3 linked regions of the Daphnia pulex genome follow. The protein of the gene in region 3 purifies or fractionates together with the protein of the main gene of each other region. This does not show direct contact. Links are inferred from orthologs where the notes say so. Each region holds a gene or a part of one and is shown on either strand. Other genes may lie near its edges. The genes, in order: nuclear protein localization protein 4 homolog, cullin-2-like and UBX domain-containing protein 7-like.

Region 1 (6,084 bases), on a different chromosome or scaffold from region 3:
CTCTGCAAGCCCAGCTGCTGAGAGGCATGGGATTGCCTTCGGGATCGGCGTCCATGTCGAGTCACGCTCACAACCCTCTCATGAATCCCTTCTCTTCACTGCTGTACCCTTATCAGCTGGCCATGGCCGCTTCGGCTGCTCAAGCAGCAGCTCAGGGCAGAGGCAATAGCGGCGGTGGTGGATCCGGAGGAGCTGGAGGCAGCGGAAACAGCAGTCGAGACAATAGCGCCGCTGCCTTTACCGCCGCCAGTTTGGCCGAACTGCAACGGCAATATCTGCTGGACATGCTCCCACACCTGCCCAACATGGCCGCTGCCGCCGCCAGCAGTGCCGGCTCCCGCTCGTCACAGGGCCAAAGCCAGGGTCATGGCGATGGTCGTCAAAATTGGAAATCTTGAGCAAGTAGACATCCCCCTCAAAATGTGTCTTTGTGTTGTCAACTCCGCTCTGATGGGCATTTGCATCCGCCGGCAGCAGCTGACTTGCCTGAGCCAAGACGTTCTTTTTTTTTCTTTATTATTAATAATTATTTTCAATATTTCTTGCGGTCTCGTTATGAATATTCACCTCTCCCCATTTCTCTGTTGACTTTCGATTTAATAAGCGAACTGGTTCCATGCGTATGTCAAATCACTAACGATTAACTAAAAACAAAAAGGGAGGCTGTTCGAGATCTCACGATCGTCTTTGCTTCATTCAGTTTAGTGAACCAGTAAGAAATTTTGTCTCGATTTTCCATCGTGGTTCATCACACTCCAGGCAGGGTACGACTGTCGTTACGTGCGCCCTGATTTGCCTTATGAACTCAAGCTAAAAAGACACCCAACAACCACGACAAATCCATATTTGATATAGGACAAATGCAGCGATGTTATCTTTTGTTTCTTATTATTAGAGAGGTAGCAAAGCGTAGAACTGCAGTGACACAGAAGGGACTCATCAGCACATATTCTCTGTGATGGGCCGGATGCTGGAACGCTCAAATGTTGCATGTGGAATATTATGACATATAACCCTCCCCCCTCCTCCTGAAAGGCAAATTTGGCCATGTACTGCTTTTCATCCTCTATACTGTTGTTTAGATGCACTGACTCGTGATTTTTTCAAAACTTCATCTGGCGAGTGCACCTTCTCTTGTTGCAGATCTGATCATCAGCACAACCCTACCCTCCTGACATGAATTTTCCCCCACCCCGTTTTCCTATAATTTCCATGTGTCTTTACTTCCCTCTTTGTTTCTCGTGATCTATTAAACTTACGTCAAGACAACGGACATGACTGTCTCATTTGGCATGGTGATGAAAATGCGGGATTGCAGGCTGACATTCTGGTATCCTCGAGTGTATGTGTGTTTGTATCTGTCTTGAGAGAAGTGAACAAGAAACGTGTTTCCCAATCGTTTTACTTATCTTGAATCAAGTCTTTATATAATTAATCGGATACCTATACATAGCTAGTTATCAGTATACAAAGTAATCCTTCAAGTGGGTAGTGTGATGAAGTATAAATCTGCGAGATATAAACTTTCTATTAGCTTTAGTTTAATTGCGTACTCAAATTTATGAATTATTTGGTTCGTTTTATCACTTCTTTTTCTTCGAGTTTCCGTAGACTTCAACCAATGTTATAAGGTGCCTAATATATAATAAACAAAGAACATTTTGTTTAATTTGAAATGATTTTAAATGTAAATAAAACTTGATTAACGAAAGATTACAATTTTTGAAAATTCTTTTTTATTTAATTTTTTTCAAAATTGTGAAATTTCTTTCGCCATCTAGCGTTCGTACTCAACGACGTTTCACATAACAGAACGTATCGAGTACTCAAAGTTGACTGAAAGTTGATTTGATCGAGTAAACGAAAACATCCGCTGCGGTCTTTTGTCGTTAAATCTTCTGGACAATCAACCTGAACTTATCGGTCCGCAGTTACCAAATTATATTAAAAAACTGAAGATGGTATACGTTTGTTATTTGTTATCAATATCACATTTTTTTGGAATGCTCATAAATTTTGCTTTATCTTGAAACGTTCGTTTTTATTGTTGCCTATTGTCTTTACATGGGACGTTTTCATACGTGATATGATGAAATTTTTCAAAATATAGAACCATATTAATTGCAACAAATATTTCCTATAGATGTTGAGAGTTCAATCTCCAGAAGGTACTCGGCGTGTGGATGTTGACAATGTCACCGTAACCAGGGAACTGTTTGAAAAGGTATAGAAGAATTGACCCCATAATTAATACAATGCAAAACCCACAAATAATTTTGTAATTTTTTTCTTAGGTCCTCAATACCTTTGGAAATATAGGTTATTCTTTTGCCTTGTACTGCAAACGTGATAAATCTCAAGAAATTGTTTCATCGAATGCAAAGACTATGGCAAGTTATGGGCTTCAGCATGGTGATATGATATACTTGTCACCTATTGCTGGTGCAGTTCAGCACGGTGAACAGGATGCTTCTGTGCTTAAAGTAAAAAATGGAGTGAGCACTGCTTCATCGACAACCTTCCTTCCATCAACTAGTAGCATGCATGGATCCAAAATACCTATTCGATCTAATGTAGAGGAAGATCAAGTTGATGTAATTCTACAGAAAATGGATGGAACTGTCAAGAGAAAACGTGATCCCAAAAAGTGAGTTTTTACAGTGCACGTATTGGACTAATATTGTAATCAGTTGTGTTCTAATTTTATTTGAAAGCTTCCTTAGAATAAGCAATAGTCTAATATAATGTAATCTAAATTATGCAGAGACATTGTGGCTAATATGTAAGGATTATAGTAAAAAGCGGTGTATTATAAAATAACCGATATTCATCCGACATGAAAAATAACAGCATTTATTTTTAATGATAGTTGTCTCCATGGAGAAAATTCGTCTTGCATTCATTGTCTACCATTGGAACCATACGACGCTTCGTACCTAAAGGAGCTGAACGTCAAACATATGTCGTTTCACGCTTACTTACGGAAACTGTCTAGTGGGTTAGACGGAGGAAAATATGCTAATTTGGATAACATAAGTTGTCGGATTAAACCTGGTTGCACTGGTCATCCGCCATGGCCCAAAGGTGTGTGCTCTAAATGCCAACCGAAAGCCATTACTCTGAACAGTCAAGTAATATTCCATTTGCCGCTCCAACATGTAAACCATATTAATCTTTGTTTCAAATCCTACAGGCTTACAGACACGTTGACAACGTTGTCTTTGAAAATCCAAACCTAGTCGAACAATTTCTTCATTACTGGCGTGTAACCGGGCGACAGCGAATCGGATTCCTCTATGGAAGGTAAAAATGAAATTCGAAGTTGATCAATTTATTTCTCCAAAATCAAACTAAAATGTTCAATTCTACCAGATTTGACATTCATTTGGATGTGCCACTTGGAATCAAAGGAATAGTCGCAGCAATTTATGAGCCTCCACAGGTACGTCAAGTATTCACATCCGAAACATGTAAAGAATGTAATCTGATGGAATGGATTAATTTTTAGGAATCGACACGTGATTCTGTTCGCTTGCTGCTTCCGGACAACCGGCAATCTGTTGTCGACCGTGTGGCTGCCAAGCTTGGACTTCAGTGTATTGGATGGATTTTTACCGACTTGGTGGCAGAAGATGTGTCCAAAGGAACTGTTCGCCATTTCCGCAATGCAGAAACGCACTTTCTCTCTGCGCAAGAATGCATCATGGCTGGCCATTTCCAGTCACTTCATCCGAACCCATGCCGCTTGTCGTCTGATGGCTACTTTGGCTCTAAATTCGTCACTGTTTGTGTTACCGGTAAACATTTGCTAAAAATTTAATTCAAACTAATCGGAAACTTACAACGGACATAATCTGTTTGCAGGTGACTCGCAGAATCAGGTGCACATGGAAGGTTATCAGGTTTCCAATCAATGCCAAGCCTTAGTTCGAGATGAGTGCTTAGTGCCTACCAAAGACGCTCCAGAGTTAGCATACGCCCGCCAGTCTACAGCCGAAAAGTACATCCCAGATGTTTACTATAAGGTCAGTGCTTTTAATTATTATTATTTTATTTTTATTTTTTTAGTATTTATCCGAAAAGAATGCGAGCAAAAGGAGTAGGGTCGACAGCGATCGTTACGTGTATTTCAGCGTTCAGGTTTCCCTTTCAAATTCCACTGTGGATGGAGTGTTTTTTTTTTTTTCTTTTTTACTCTTTAGTTTACAGGTATTAGAAGAATTAGGAAGGAGCTAGAGAAAGTTTTAGTCCGTAACAACCACGATAAACTCGAGACATTAATAAATTCCGATACGCCGAAAAAGAGGGAAGGGGTAAAGGTAACAAGCCGAGGAAGGTGCGACATAAGCGAAAACCAAAAGGCACTCCGTATTTTTCCCGACACATACGCGCACACGCACACACTGACAGACTAGACATGTCGACGTGTTGTAACAACCTAAAAAATTCGTTGGACAAAAAAAAAGTAGCATTTTTTTTTTTTTTGCCTTCCACACGATGTTAATAAAGACTAAATGAAATATTTTTTTTTTCAACGTTTACGCCAAAAACACAAAACGTAGGCACCATAACACAACGGTGGAGGGGGGCGGGAGCTAAAGTTTGGTAGAGGAGGAAAAAAAAAAGTGGGACAATTTTTCAAATGCTTGATCCGAACTTCACGAATGGGGGCGACGAAATGTAGCGGAAATAGAAAGAGGGTAATAATAACTAAATCGACGACAGAAAAAAAAGAAGTACGACAAAGAAATAACAACAATTCTTGCTATTTACCAAACAACATGTGGCAGTATTGAAACTGGGCGATGCAATAATTTGTATCGGTCGTCAAAAGAAAAGGGTCAGATGTAGAGCCAAGTTGTTACATTTCACTACGTGAAAAAAAAACTCGTTGCTTTCGAAGGGTTAGGAGAAAAATATTAGGTTCTTTCGGGTGCATCCCGATGCCTCTTGCATTTTTTTCTTTTTTGTTGTTGTTGTTGTTTTTTTTTGAGAAGAAAAGCAGCAAACACAGAAAAGTCGCGAAACGTTGTCTTCTAACTGAGCAATCCACAATTGGCCACGGTGATGAGTTTGCGAGGGAAGCCTTGATGATCGCCCAGAAAAGAAACGCGTTCCACCAATTCCAATCCGTGGATGACGTGGCCAAAGACACCAGTGAAGAAGGGCATGTCTCGAAGTAGAATACGGAATTGGGATCCCACTAGCCCTTGGCTGTGATGCTTTTTTTGCGTTCGTCTCATGCCGATCGCCGCTCGAATGCAGGGCAGCTTGCTGTCGTCGGGCATGAAGAAGGGTTCTTCCGCGTAGATGGATCGTCCCCCACGCCCGGAATTGCATTCAAAGTCACCGGCGATGCACGACTCTCCTCCCCAACATTGGAAAACTTGACATCCCTTGTAGCCAAATCCTTTCTCACCCATGCAAAGCGATGCGAAATTCTTGGCCATCTTGGGCGCCACATCTGGTCGGGTTTCCAATACTACGCGGCCTTCAACGATTCCGTCGACTTCCAAATCTAGGAAAAAACGAGGGAAAGACGAGTGCAGAGGAGAACTAGGGGAGAGGACGCTGGCCATCGAGTTGCTCTTGTTGGGGGAAGTCGAAGTCAGTAGAGAGCTGGCCAAAAGTTGTTTCGTGTACAGCCGAGCGTTGCAGACGTTGGCCAAAAGGGCCACAGGATCGGGTTGGGTGGGTGGAGACTGCAGCAGTTCCATAGTAGACGGACCACGATTGCCAGAGTATCGTAAGTTTTGAACCGCCTGACGGAACGTATGCAAGTCCAGTACTTGGTTGCTGGAACCAATGACACGATTCAAAGTCAGCTGCATGGCCAGTTGTTGTTGCTTGGTCTGAAGGCGAATCCGTTCCGATTGTAGAGATCTGAGCATTTCAGCTGCCTCGTCGGGGCCTGAAAGTCCAGCTAGTTGAAAAGTAACTTTGTTTAGCAGAAACTGGGTAGTGTCTTCTTCGTTCAAGCCATTGGACACAGCAGAACTGCTCTGTTTGTTGAGACTGCTCAGTTCTTCTCGCATGAGGTTTTCCAAGCTAGTGCAGGCTTCCATCACTAAACAGAGAAATTCT
Region 2 (6,155 bases), on a different chromosome or scaffold from region 3:
GGCGAAGCTTTCGGACTTCTGTCTTGACGATCGGATAAGACAGTTTGATTTCTCGGTGAAACAGGCTGGATGCCAGCGTTTGGCTTAAATAAGTCTCCCATATGGTAAAAGGTGAATAATGAGCCTTTAATTATGCTAAGCTGGAGAGCGTATTGCAAAACTAACGCCCCCAACCCTTTGTACAGACCCCACCTCCCTTCTTCGCGGGTAATTGTATTCCAGCAGTCGAAAAAGCCATCATAACGTGTTAGAATTGGTATAACAGATGCACCGGTGTCCAAATTATCGATAATAGTACGTGTTCCTTGAATATGCAGCCTGTTGAAAATTCAGAAGGCGTTTAAGTTTATTATTTAAATTCAAAAAATGAAAATAATCGTACCTATGGAGAACTGTCTCGAAGGGAAAGAGTAATACGTCCGCCACTAACGACCCAGCAAATCTTGAAGACAAGTCAAGATCGTTTGCTTCGACGAAACTCACTTCTTTAGAAAGGGCACCCTGAAATCAAGTGAATATTAATTATTTCAATATAGAAAATTCCGAGCGTATTGAAAATATCAGAGTTAAATCAACAGTTACTACAAAAACCTACCTGTTTACGCTGGCTTCGTTTTTTAGCTGAGGTCATTCCCCAGCGAGTCAATCCCGCTGAAAGCACTGAGACGATGTAATGAACCGTCCCACATAAAACAGCAGGGCACAAAATAATCCATATTGGTAACAATCGACCTAAAAATATTTTAAATGATGCAATAGAGAATCCTAGTAAATATTTTGGAAAAATGTTTTACCTGTTTGGGGGGCAGACCAGCTTAAGAACCTATAAATCCCTTCTTGAAAAACATCAAAGATACCCGGCTTTTCACTTGCAATATCAGATTGAACAGTTTCTACAACACTTGCTGCATAAAATGGGATCACGACAGCTAGGGAAACGCTAGGGAACCAAAAAATAGATTTAAAAATTCTTTAGATATCTGCTAATAATTGTCGTATGACAATTTCAATGTGTTTTTGTGATACCTTTTCAAGAGGATGTGGTGTCCAATTGCTTTCAATGAGCTGTTACGATCAATTTCTCTAAAAAAAAAAGAAAAAAAAAACAAAAACAAGTGAATATTCTGTCAGTCTAAATATAAACACACACTGGCTATTTCAATGAACACAAGAGGACAGCTTACATGGCAACATTTGCCACTTTATATGCTAAATTACTTTGGCCATGGTGTTATCTTGCTCAGTACATCCTCAATGGCTAATGTGAGACCTCTCACAATTAAAGCACTGCCAATTCCTTTCCATAACACAGTCATGCTTTGTCTTTGGTGTAGCCTAATGACTACTGGGACCAAGCTGAAAGGTAGTGTATGGTATTTTCTAGAAAATACATTAACCTACAGATAAGCAGTATTAAAAAATTTACTATCAAATTAACGTAAAGAATTTTTCACCTGACACTGTCTTCGCAGAACTAAAAATGGATGGCATAGTAGATTTTCAGCTGCTAGTCTCATAATACCAAAACTGGGATTTGGGATTCTACTTGCATCAATCATATCATCTTACAAGAAAATAAAAATTATGTAAAGTCATTGCAAAAAAATGTGTGATGATAAAAGTCACTGTTAATACCATATCTATATTTCGGCGACGTAATAGCTTTGTTTTCATGTTGTATCCTACCATCAGTTACTGCAGAAGCAGCAGAATCAGCTTTTTTTATCCAAAAGGGAGAATTTTCTAAACTGTAATAGAACGAGTAGTCCTCAGTTCCAGCCATACTAACCTGTACACTTGATTTGATATTAATGTTTATGAATTCCAAGTAAAAAAAAAACAAACTATTTTCGTATTATGGTTAACTTTTTCTTTCGTGATACGCAGCAGACGAATAACTACTAATAATGAGCTGCCATCTGATGATAAACTAAACAACTTTTCCGTTTCTTCGCGAAGGCCAAAGGGGCCAGAGCAGACGAACCCACACTGCGCAATCGTTTTATTAATCTTCAGAATCCTTGTTCTGTGAAACCAATTGTATTCTTATTTAACCCCAGGGTCTTAAGATTCTCGAGTAAATTGATTATTCAAGGAATCTGAAACTTTGTCCTTCATTTACGATACGAAAAACAAGTAAATAACTTAAGGTCTTTTCATTGCTATTGCCAGTAGTCATTGCATGATCGTTTGTACGAAGATCAGTTTTGGTTTTCTCCCGTTGAACTTGGAAATAGGGACTCTGGCTTTTTTTGTAAAATTCCTATGATCCACTTTTTGGACTTTGATTCAGCTGTTCTAATAACTGCACAAAATGTCTCTTAAACCGAAGCGTGTAGACTTTACCACAACTTGGGCTGATTTAAAGGAAACAGTTAAAGGTGTTGTAACTCTGGGAAATGTTCCTCATACTATATGGTACAATCGATTCAGTGATGTGTATTCCCTCTGCGTGGCTTACCCAGAACCTTTAGCTGAGAAATTGTACCAAGAAACTAAAAAGTTTTTGGAGGAGCATGTTAAATCTCTTTTCATCCAAGTGAACGGCACCAGTGAAGAACAGCTTCTGACTGTGTATTACACACTTTGGCAGCAATATAGCCAAGGAATGGACTATTTGCACAAACTTTACTCGTAATTTATTCATTTCTTTTCTCTAATAAAACAAGTTAATACATGCTTTTAATTCAAATACAGATACCTTAATACCCAACACATCAAGAAACAAAAAGCATCTGATGCCGAGCTTCTTTATGGGACATTGTCTTATGAATCACCTGAACAAATGAAAGAAATCGGAGAATTGGGTAATCACTATTTGTAATTTTTTTGGTGTACTGAATCCTTATCGAAACTTGCTTGCTAGGTTTGGATTTGTGGAAGAAGTATATGATAGAGCCATTGAAAGCCGACTTGCTGAGATTACTTTTGGGAGGCATACATTGTGACCGAACTGGACAATCTTTGTATAATGAAAAGTCATCAACAATTCAGGGTGTGATTCAGTCGTTTGTTTCAGTCGAGGAATACAAGAAGAAGAACACCCTCGAACTTTATGAGGCTGTTTTTGAAGGGCCATTTCTTGAAGCGACCGGTGAATACTACAAGTAAGAAATAATTAAAATGTTAAAAATTTGCATATTACAGTTGTTTGGTCAAATTTAGGCAAGAAGCTAGTCGCTTGTTACAGGAATGCACAATTTCCTTGTATATGGAAAAAGTTTTGCAACGTCGGGACGAAGAAGATTTACGTAGTCGGAAATTCCTGCACCCAAGCTCTTACAGTAAAGTTCGAACTGAATGCGAAAAACGAATGGTAGCAGATCACTTGGCGGCTATCCACAACGAGTGCCCGACAATGGTTCAACAAGAACTCCAACAAGATCTTCGAAATGCGTACGCGTTGTTGAAGGTGAGAGCTTATCTTATTGCCTCGTAGTATAAATTTTAATTGTTTTCTAAAATTTGTTCAGTCGATTCCGGGAGGTTTGACTGTTCTGGTGTCGCACGTCATGGAACACATCAAACAACAAGGATTGCGAACAGTGACTAACCTGTCAGGAGACAACATTGCTGCCCAGTTTGTAGAGGGCATGCTTAGTGTCCACTCCAAGTACAAGGAGATCACCAACACTGTTTTCAGTAATGATCAGCTATTTAGCAGCGCTCTAGATATGGCCTGTGCTGCAGTCGTCAACCATCGCTTCAATACTAAACAAAATTGTAGGTCTCCAGAACTACTTGCCAAGTATTGTGATACTCTCTTGAAGAAGTCAACAAAAGGCGGTAGTGACACCGAAGTTGACGATAAGTTAACACAGTGCATTACTGTATTCAAGTACATCGACGACAAGGATGTTTATCAAGCTTTTTACTCACGGAAGTTGGCACATCGATTGATTTCACAACAGAGTCAAAGTATGGACGCTGAAGAGGCAATGATCAACCGATTGAAACAGGCATGCGGATATGAGTTTACCAACAAACTTCATCGAATGTTCACGGACATGTCCGTCTCATCAGACCTGAACAACAAGTTTAATCTGCTGAACAAAGATCGGATGATTGAATTAGGTCTCAACTTCTCCATCTATGTCTTGCAAACCGGTGCGTGGCCTAGACAAGTCTGCCCTACCGATTTCGCCGTACCCCAAGAGTTGGAAAAATCGGTCCAAGAATTTGAAGATTTCTATCGTCTACAGTTTAACGGCCGGAAGCTTGCATGGCTACATCACTTGAGTTACGGAGAGCTGAAACTGAACTACTTGAAAAAGCGTTACTTCATCACCATGGGAACCTTCCAAATGGCAATGCTTCTTGTCTTTCAAAAGACCAATTCCGTGACTTGTGGAGAACTCATGGAAGCCACGAAGCTTAACTCGGATCAATTCCAAAAGGTCCTTCAGAGCTTAGTCGACTCAAAGCTTTTGGCAGTAACTAGTGACACTGTCGAAGTTTTCCAACCATCTACAGTCATTTCCCTCAATATGGATTATAGTAACAAACGAACCAAGTTTCGTATTAACAACACTATCCAAAAGGAGACTGTCCAAGAAACCGAGACGACGCATTCTTCTGTAAACGAAGACAGGAAAATGTACCTTCAGGTAAGAATTATACGAATATTTTAGCGTAATGCGTTAGAAATCCGAAAACAAACTAAAGTTTTTTTTTTTTTTTCATTTGGCTTTCCAAGGCTACAATCGTTCGAATCATGAAATCTAGGAAGATTCTTCGCCACATGGTCTTAATTCAGGAGGTGTTGAGCCAGTCCCAACCCCGATTTGCTCCTCCCATTTGCATGATAAAAAAGTGCATTGAGACATTGATTGACAAGCAGTACCTGGAGCGTACCCCTAATTCAACGGACGAATATAGCTATGTGGCATAGAAAATGCAATCTCAACGTTAGTTCGCAATATCATGCTGTAATACTTTGGCGTGAATTTTTGAAATTGTTGAAAAGAAAACCGCGTCGAGATGGTAAGGGATTGTTGGGCCTTTGGGGTATTTCTCATATTGTACATGAATAATTTTTCCATTTGATATTTTTCATCGGTTTTTCCTTGCTGTGTGAACTTAGAAATTCTTACTTACACACTTTGAACATCGTTTAAAGTGCAGTATTAGAAATACAAAGCATACAAAATAAATGTTGGCAACTACGGAAAAGATTTTTAAAAGATAAAATGCACTGTTATAGGCAAGAAATTGTATTATAGGTAAAGTTAAACAGCTTTAAAATAGTCTCAGATACTACACTACTTGTAAAGTTTGGCGGACACGTGATTGATATTACAGACAAATTAAACGAATAAAGATCCTTGAGCGAGAATTGATGATAAGAGAGTCTTGTCCTTAAGTGTGGATTCCACTTCACGCTCGTCAAGCCGTAGACAGATTGGCGCAAGGCGAGAATTACTCTTTTTCTTCAGGGTCACGATACCTCGGCTCTCGACCAGAGAGCAAGTATGTGAAAATTCATCGAAGTCTATTTTAGTCACACCGTACTTGGAACAAACTTTGCTGTATGACTCGTGTAGTTTACCCAACGTCACTTGTTTTGCCTTCCCGAATTTGACTAGCACGAGAAGTGTCACAATAATTAGCTTTTGTTGCAGAGGGGTTTCATCTACATCGTCGTTGTTCGCAGAAGAGAATGCATTACTTTCAACTGAAGCCATCATCTTGCAGAGAAGAGGAATGTTCACACATTTGTTTGTCGGTATTGATGCGCTATTTTGAGGTTCCGAATTCGATGGTGCCAACACTAACTGCTTTTTGGCGGAGGTTTCGGCCAACTCGACTGCTCGTCTACAGATGTCAATGGCTTTACGCAGATCTCCAGATGTAGAAGATATTTTGCCACCCAAATACTGCAGGGCTGAAGGAGCTATTAGATTGCCTACATCTTCAGTGACCACTTCTCGGATTCGCTGGCTCAGAATGGTTACAATATCCTGCTTTGAATAAGGCGAGAAATTGAGAAGGACGGGCTTAAACTGTACACGGCTTTGAAGTCTAATCAGGGCTCGGTCAGTCAAGTCTAAAGCATTAGCCAGGCCAATCAAAATAAGGCGAGAATTTTTCAACGCTGGCAGTTCGAAGAGGGCGTAAAGGACTGATTGGTCTCTCGTGGACATTTGGTCAATTTC
Region 3 (6,118 bases):
TGCTGGCAGCGGTCTTGATACTCGTTGCCCTATGGTGAGTAATTTTATACGACCCATTTTTTTTAAATAGAAAGTTGGGATAACATAACCTTTTGTTAACGTAAAGTATATCTTTCGGAGCCAAAGTAATGAAAATCATCCTAACGCTGTCCGGCGTCATCTGCGCTATTCTACTCAGCGTTGCGCTTGCTTTAGCTTTATCTCATCCAAACAATTCCCAAACGAATTCAAACAATACAGCACAGATAGGCATTAACTTACTTGCCCCTACTGAGCCATGGGGATTTGGACGCGGAGAAGTACTACGCAGCATCACTAAACCCATAAAATTCTTTATTTTATGACTTTCTTTTGATGGTTTTCTTTTTAAGGTCTGGTACGGCGCTATGGTACAGGTCATATTTTCATTGGCAATCGGTTTTGGTACGCTTCCTTCTCTGTCATCTTCTACCTATTTCAGTCGAAATACTATCAGGTATTTGCTTTTGAAACTTTGTCTTTTTGATGAGTTAATGGTAACTCTAAACCTTCTTTCTACAACTTAGAGATGGCATTTTAATTTGGCTTATTAACATACTCTTTGCTGTACTTTCCGTAATTACCACATTCGCTTGGATTGGTATTTCGGGTCTACATGCTAAGGATGTAGTCCAACCGAATGCCTTCATCTACTTTATCTACTATAACATTTGTAATTCGCTATGGGCCGGTCTTGCTTTTGGACTAATCTTTCTTTCTGGATTGAACAGCATGGTAAAAGAGAAATCAAATTGTTACTATGACGTGTAAATATATATTGTTTTCGATTTATAGCTGCCTCTTATGTACGCCATTATTCAAAATCTTTATGAGAATTTCCCGGTTCTCGAGCAACGCTATCAAAAGTTGACTTACTGCTTGCTATTCATCGCTGTTTGGCTCATCAATATTCCTGGCCTCATTCCGGTGCTTTATTTATTCTCACGTCATTTATCTCTCCGTGTTTATGGTAGTAACTGACAGTATTTTATCTTCCCTTTCTAAGGCTGGAAATGAAGTCGTAACGATGTGGGATCATTACGCTGCAGGAGGCACTGTACTTACCTGTTTAATTATTCATCTAATTGGATGGCTGTGGGTCTATGGTAAGATTAATGCAAGTATCCCCTAAAGGTATTATTTTGAAACATTTATTTGTAATAGGCGGGAAGAATTTGAAGCGGGATTTTGAATTCATGATTAACCGATCTATAAACTCTTTCTGGAACGTATCTTGGAGTTATGTCACCATCATTGTTCTCGTCGTAAGTGACTTTGTGTTCTATTATTCTCTTTACATTACCCTATATAATTGGCGGATAAATTTTAGATTGCAGAACTCTGGGGATTCCTTGGTGTGCCATTAGATGGAACTACAGATTGTCTTTATCCTATTTGGATGGTGGCAACTGGGTGGTCCTTTTACCTCTTAGCTTTGGCTGTAGCTTGTGCTGTCGCCATCAAGACTGTGGTTCAGGAAACTGAATATGAATTGATCAAAAAGTTAACCAACTCGATGAAAGCTGATAGGCATTGGGGTCCGATAGATCCCCTTCTTCATTTCCATTGGAAAAGATCTATAGAATCGCCATCTGGACCAGTTCCTTATTCTATGGACACAATTTCGCGCCGATTGAAAGTGGAAGATGAACAGAAAATTGAAACAGACATCTCTTTGTTTGATCAGAATTCCATGCCTAAAAGTCATCGGGGTAGTATAACTATGGTTCGATTGCCTCATTATGAAAGGCACTATGACGAAAATGGCCTCACGATCGAATAATATAGAATTGCATCTACTTGTTTTTGTTGAAATGCTTTCTTGAGATCATGAATGTAAAATACCGATAAAAAAAATATATCGCGCCCTAAATACAAATTTAAATTTTCGCTTTTTCCGATCAATCATCAGATGGCGTTGCTCAAACATTTTTTTGTTTTCGGCTGTAGAGCTGCTAGACAGCTCTCACGTAATCAGCGTTTAAGAATAAAATAATCGTAACTTAATCATTTTAATATATTCGCAATGGATTTATCTGACGATTCTTCACGAGGTTCATCTTCGAAATCTAGTCGAAGTAAATCTCAAAGTGGGAGTGAAAAAAGTGCCAAGTCTAAAAGTAAATCTTGTGTAGTAACCAGAGAGCAGATAGAGCAGTTTTGTGCTGTCACAGGTATAAAATCAAGCTTAATCAGTTTATTCTCCTTGCCATGTGATGTTGAAACTAATGTCTTGTAAAATAGGTAGCACAGAAGATGTTGCACGAACCTTGATTGAAGCATGCAGGGGAAATCTGGAGAGAGCTGTTGACATGCATATGGAAGGACTTTCAGAAAATCCACAACCATCAGGCGCTCAAGAAGAAGAATATGTCCGGGCTCCAATTCCTCAAAAGCAGGAAGTCTTGGTAGAATCTGGATATGAAGGCTATGGATTTGGCTTCAAGGGGAAAAAGCGAATAGTCAAATCAGTGTTTGATTCCTTCAGAAATTTTGAAGTGGAAACAAGTAATATCTATGCATGTTTCCAATGTTCCAACATAAACATTTATCTATTTTACTCATAGAACTGCAAGAATCCAGATTAAGAGAAACCAATGGCTTAGCAACACCAGTTGCCGGAGCTAGTATGTCTGGAAAAAGAACCTTAGAAGAGCTATTTCGGCCACCTATAGATATGATGTTCAATGGAAACCTTCTCAATGCAAGTTTTTTTTTTAAATCTCTAAAGAGAGGTTTCTAACTCATCAAACTGTATTTTAATGTTACAGGCAAGAGATACAGGAAAGACAGTGAAAAAGTGGATTATGGTTAACATTCAAAATATATCTGAATTCAGATGCCAATTATTAAATCGCGATGTTTGGTCTCAGAAGTCAATCAAAAACCTTGTTCGAGAGAATTTCTTATTCCTCCAGGTAAGATAGCCAGCGCCAATTTATTTCTACCATAAACACTCTCTTATTCGTGGTGGTTAGTTAATAACTATTCTCAAAGCTGTTCCTTATCAAAGCAATTCCATGCATAACTTGTGTATTTTATTTCAGTTGTATATGGACAGCGAAGAGGGTCAGCGATATATGAATTTCTACAAGGTTAACCAATGGCCATATGTTGCCGTTTTGGATCCCAGAACTGGAGAGTTGATGGTCGAATGGAATTATTCAGAAACTAGTGCCTATGAGACGCTGATTGCTGAATTTTTGGCAACTACTTCATGGGGAGATGAGGAAAAAAGTGCCTGCGCTCCATCAGATCCCAAGAAGAGACGAGTGGTAATAAGAATCCTAAAACTTTTTACTGTATTGGTCTCGAGAAGGTTTTCTTTATTGGGTAATAATAATAATTTCCTCTACTTTTTCTTTTTGAAGGAAACTATTCTGGATGCAAGCGAAGATGATCAGTTACAAGCAGCCATCCGAGCTTCGTTAGCTGCGTCAACAGCCCAAAATCAAAAGGCACCTGTATCGGACGACGAGTTTCAAAGCGATGAAGACGAGGACCAACCCACCGAGTGGTTTGACTCTGAATCCGACAGTCGAGCTAGCGAACCACGGAAAACAGAACCCGAGCCACCACAACCGGTGGGAAATCGTCTCGAGGCCTCCGGAACAGCAGATGACGACTGGGAAAGGCATTTGGGTCCCGAAGCAGATCCAATCTCATCAATTGTTTTTCGCTTTCCAGACGGTTCCAAGGAACAAAAAGCACTTCCTTGCACTTCTACTTTGATGGTGAGTAAATGGCGACCACCAGAACGTTTTTTTGTGTACATTTTGAAAAACAAACTTTGACAAAAGATTCAAGGATGATGAGCTTTTAACTATCATGTTAAGAAAATACCTGGGCTAAATCAAAAGCTTTTGGGTTTATTCTATTGCGATAAAACTGTTGTGTCGCTCGTAGCGAATCAGCCTACCGGATCGGATCTTTCAATCAGCATTCTTGAACTTCTTCTTTTTTTGAAAACCTTGAAAACATTTCTTTCACATTGTTCGCTAACCTCAAATGCAACAACATTGACGCTTTTATCCCTTTGCAAGCTTGTTAACAAAATTTGGCCTTTTTGAAAAAAGACTTTCAAAATCGTTAGTTTATTCAAAATTAAACTCTCTTGAATTATTGCAGGCCGTAGTCAAGTATGCAGCCCGCAAAGGATTTCCGCGTGATAAATTCGAACTGATGGCCAACTTCCCGAAGCGACTGCTCTTGACAATGGACAGTGAAATGACACTTAAAGATGCTGGTCTTTTCCCGCACGACACCATATTTGTTCAGGCTAGATAATAGCTAGACAAAATATGTTTGTCCTGTGTAAAAGAGAAAAGAAACAAGACAGTGCACCAAACTACAAAATTACATTCGTGCGCCTCAAGCTCAATTGTCTCATCCTTTTTTGTCTCACCCAGAGCTGTTCCTGTTTCTTCCTTTTTCCTTCCTTTTTAACTTAATTTTATTAATGCTCGTCTACCTCGTGTACCCAGGTTGTGTTCGTCACAGGGTCAAGATGGAAGAACACAAATTTAAATCTCAAACCTTATTAATTAAAAGCGCTTTACATGACCATCAACGTGCGCCCGGAATCGTTCAAATAAATACACTGCATTTTTTTCCCTATTCTTTTCGATTAATGTGCACTCGGTATTATTGCGTTTTGCTTGTGCTGCCTCATTCAGGTGTCGTCGAGTGGAACGTGCGCGTCTCCAATTTCTCTCTCTCGGTTCCGAATTCCACGCAGTGTGCAACTTTAGATACAAAGTTAGTCATGCAAGGCGGTTATTATCTCTTGATGGAATAAACGGCCGCGTCCCTCGGCAATGGTTGTAAATTTATTGACTCGCGTCGATTGTCGGACATTGGCGCTTCGTGGTGGAACAAAACAACCCCCTCTGCTTTATTATAAATGGATGGGAAAAAAAGGAAGCCAGAAACACATTAATAATAGCCGCAAAAAAGAAATGTGTTGGAAAAAAAAACTTTACTTTCATTCAATCAGGTATATATTATTTTTCCTTATTCCCTTAGGGGGGTGATGGCGGGGACGTTAAATCCCTCCCCCATTTCATTCTCGGCGCGGTTCTCTCCAGAAGAGCCCGACAGATGGCTTATTGCGGTTTTCCCAGCGAGCGACCGTTTTTTTTTTTTTGAAAATGGCGACAAGAAGTAAAATATTGACGTTTGCTGGTGGTGTGTTCTGCCCGTTCTTAATACCCATTCTTTAGAAAAAAGGTTTTCTGTTTTTTTCCCAGTCGAGTTTTTATATCTCTTTTAACTTGATTTCAAAACCAGTGGACCAGCGGGCAGGAAGAGCGAGGGAAAAAAGGAGAGAGTTTTCAGTCTCGTGAGAGTGGCCAGTATACCAGGTTGTTGTGTTGTGTGTGTGTGTGTGTCTGCTGTGTACGTCGGCAAGAATCTTAGTGGATGGCAGTTATTCCGTGATCGGAAACGATAGTGGACAGTCTCTCTCCCAACTTGCTCTCAGTGCTTGAAATCGATACTTGGCTATTACCATGAACTACTGTGTTTCACCTCATCGTTGATGCAAGCTACCCATGACTCAAGGTATAGTTGTCTCATTCTTTATTCATCTATCACAACCCACGTTCCTCAGGGTTTGAGATTACCATAACCTTGGCTGTGGGCAATGCAACAAGTTGACAGTACTTGTCGCTGTCTCACTCTCTTTCATCCATCACTACCTACGTTTTCATGAAGGTGAAACATTATCATATCATTGGCAATCAGAATTCAACAAGATGACAGTCCCAGTTAAAATGTGGGCTCTCCGGCCAGACAAAGAAAAAAAAAAAAGAACCAGTGACTAAAGTCTGACTAAAGTGCAACATTTTGAAGCTGACTCATTTTTGGCGCCCAGTAGAGGTCGCGGCTGCGCGATGCTCTAGACGCCAACTGCGCCGGCGCCCATTTGTTATTTCCTCCCCCTTCCTCGTCCCTATACATCCATCCAGACTCCTAAAAACATGTGTGCTAACCCCAGGGTCGTAGCTTTTTTCTTATTTTCCTTATTTTGCTAATCACAACAAAAGTCGTGACGAAGACCAGCCACCCCATACACAACTGTGCGTTGCACATGCCCAAA

What was found.
Region 1: the proteins of UBX domain-containing protein 7-like (region 3) and nuclear protein localization protein 4 homolog purify together in Homo sapiens (affinity purification with mass spectrometry; 3 studies listed by BioGRID and IntAct, with this or other methods). This does not show direct contact. The link is inferred for Daphnia pulex from reciprocal best matches to the Homo sapiens genes UBXN7 and NPLOC4.
Region 2: the proteins of UBX domain-containing protein 7-like (region 3) and cullin-2-like purify together in Homo sapiens (affinity purification with mass spectrometry; 6 studies listed by BioGRID and IntAct, with this or other methods). This does not show direct contact. The link is inferred for Daphnia pulex from reciprocal best matches to the Homo sapiens genes UBXN7 and CUL2.

Annotation. Positions count from the first base shown.
Region 1 is NC_060023.1:4,657,312-4,663,395, forward strand, and holds the start of nuclear protein localization protein 4 homolog, read left to right. Parts: upstream 1-1,800; 5' UTR 1,801-1,958; coding exon 1,959-1,961; intron 1,962-2,143; coding exon 2,144-2,224; intron 2,225-2,294; coding exon 2,295-2,647; intron 2,648-2,869; coding exon 2,870-3,131; intron 3,132-3,193; coding exon 3,194-3,303; intron 3,304-3,372; coding exon 3,373-3,442; intron 3,443-3,508; coding exon 3,509-3,797; intron 3,798-3,864; coding exon 3,865-4,025; intron 4,026-4,100; exon of another isoform or gene 4,101-5,036; coding exon of another isoform or gene 5,037-6,084. Other genes in the region: homeobox protein B-H2-like, read left to right, coding at 1-398; uncharacterized protein LOC124198209, read right to left, coding at 5,037-6,084. UniProt on the Homo sapiens protein: The ternary complex containing UFD1, VCP and NPLOC4 binds ubiquitinated proteins and is necessary for the export of misfolded proteins from the ER to the cytoplasm, where they are degraded by the proteasome.
Region 2 is NC_060021.1:10,403,952-10,410,106, reverse strand, and holds cullin-2-like, read left to right. Parts: upstream 1-1,951; 5' UTR 1,952-2,314; coding exon 2,315-2,634; intron 2,635-2,697; coding exon 2,698-2,807; intron 2,808-2,866; coding exon 2,867-3,107; intron 3,108-3,165; coding exon 3,166-3,412; intron 3,413-3,473; coding exon 3,474-4,607; intron 4,608-4,696; coding exon 4,697-4,891; 3' UTR 4,892-5,153; downstream 5,154-6,155. Other genes in the region: solute carrier family 25 member 46-like, read right to left, coding at 1-318, 383-501, 596-732, 795-940, 1,027-1,083, 1,219-1,397, 1,455-1,564, 1,636-1,783; cell division control protein 6 homolog, read right to left, coding at 5,307-6,155.
Region 3 is NC_060019.1:9,386,333-9,392,450, forward strand, and holds UBX domain-containing protein 7-like, read left to right. Parts: upstream 1-1,940; 5' UTR 1,941-2,044; coding exon 2,045-2,192; intron 2,193-2,262; coding exon 2,263-2,526; intron 2,527-2,585; coding exon 2,586-2,722; intron 2,723-2,789; coding exon 2,790-2,936; intron 2,937-3,065; coding exon 3,066-3,293; intron 3,294-3,389; coding exon 3,390-3,752; intron 3,753-4,146; coding exon 4,147-4,305; 3' UTR 4,306-4,632; downstream 4,633-6,118. Other genes in the region: sodium-dependent noradrenaline transporter-like, read left to right, coding at 1-34, 107-299, 372-475, 546-753, 814-945, 1,025-1,124, 1,183-1,283, 1,349-1,801. UniProt on the Homo sapiens protein: Ubiquitin-binding adapter that links a subset of NEDD8-associated cullin ring ligases (CRLs) to the segregase VCP/p97, to regulate turnover of their ubiquitination substrates.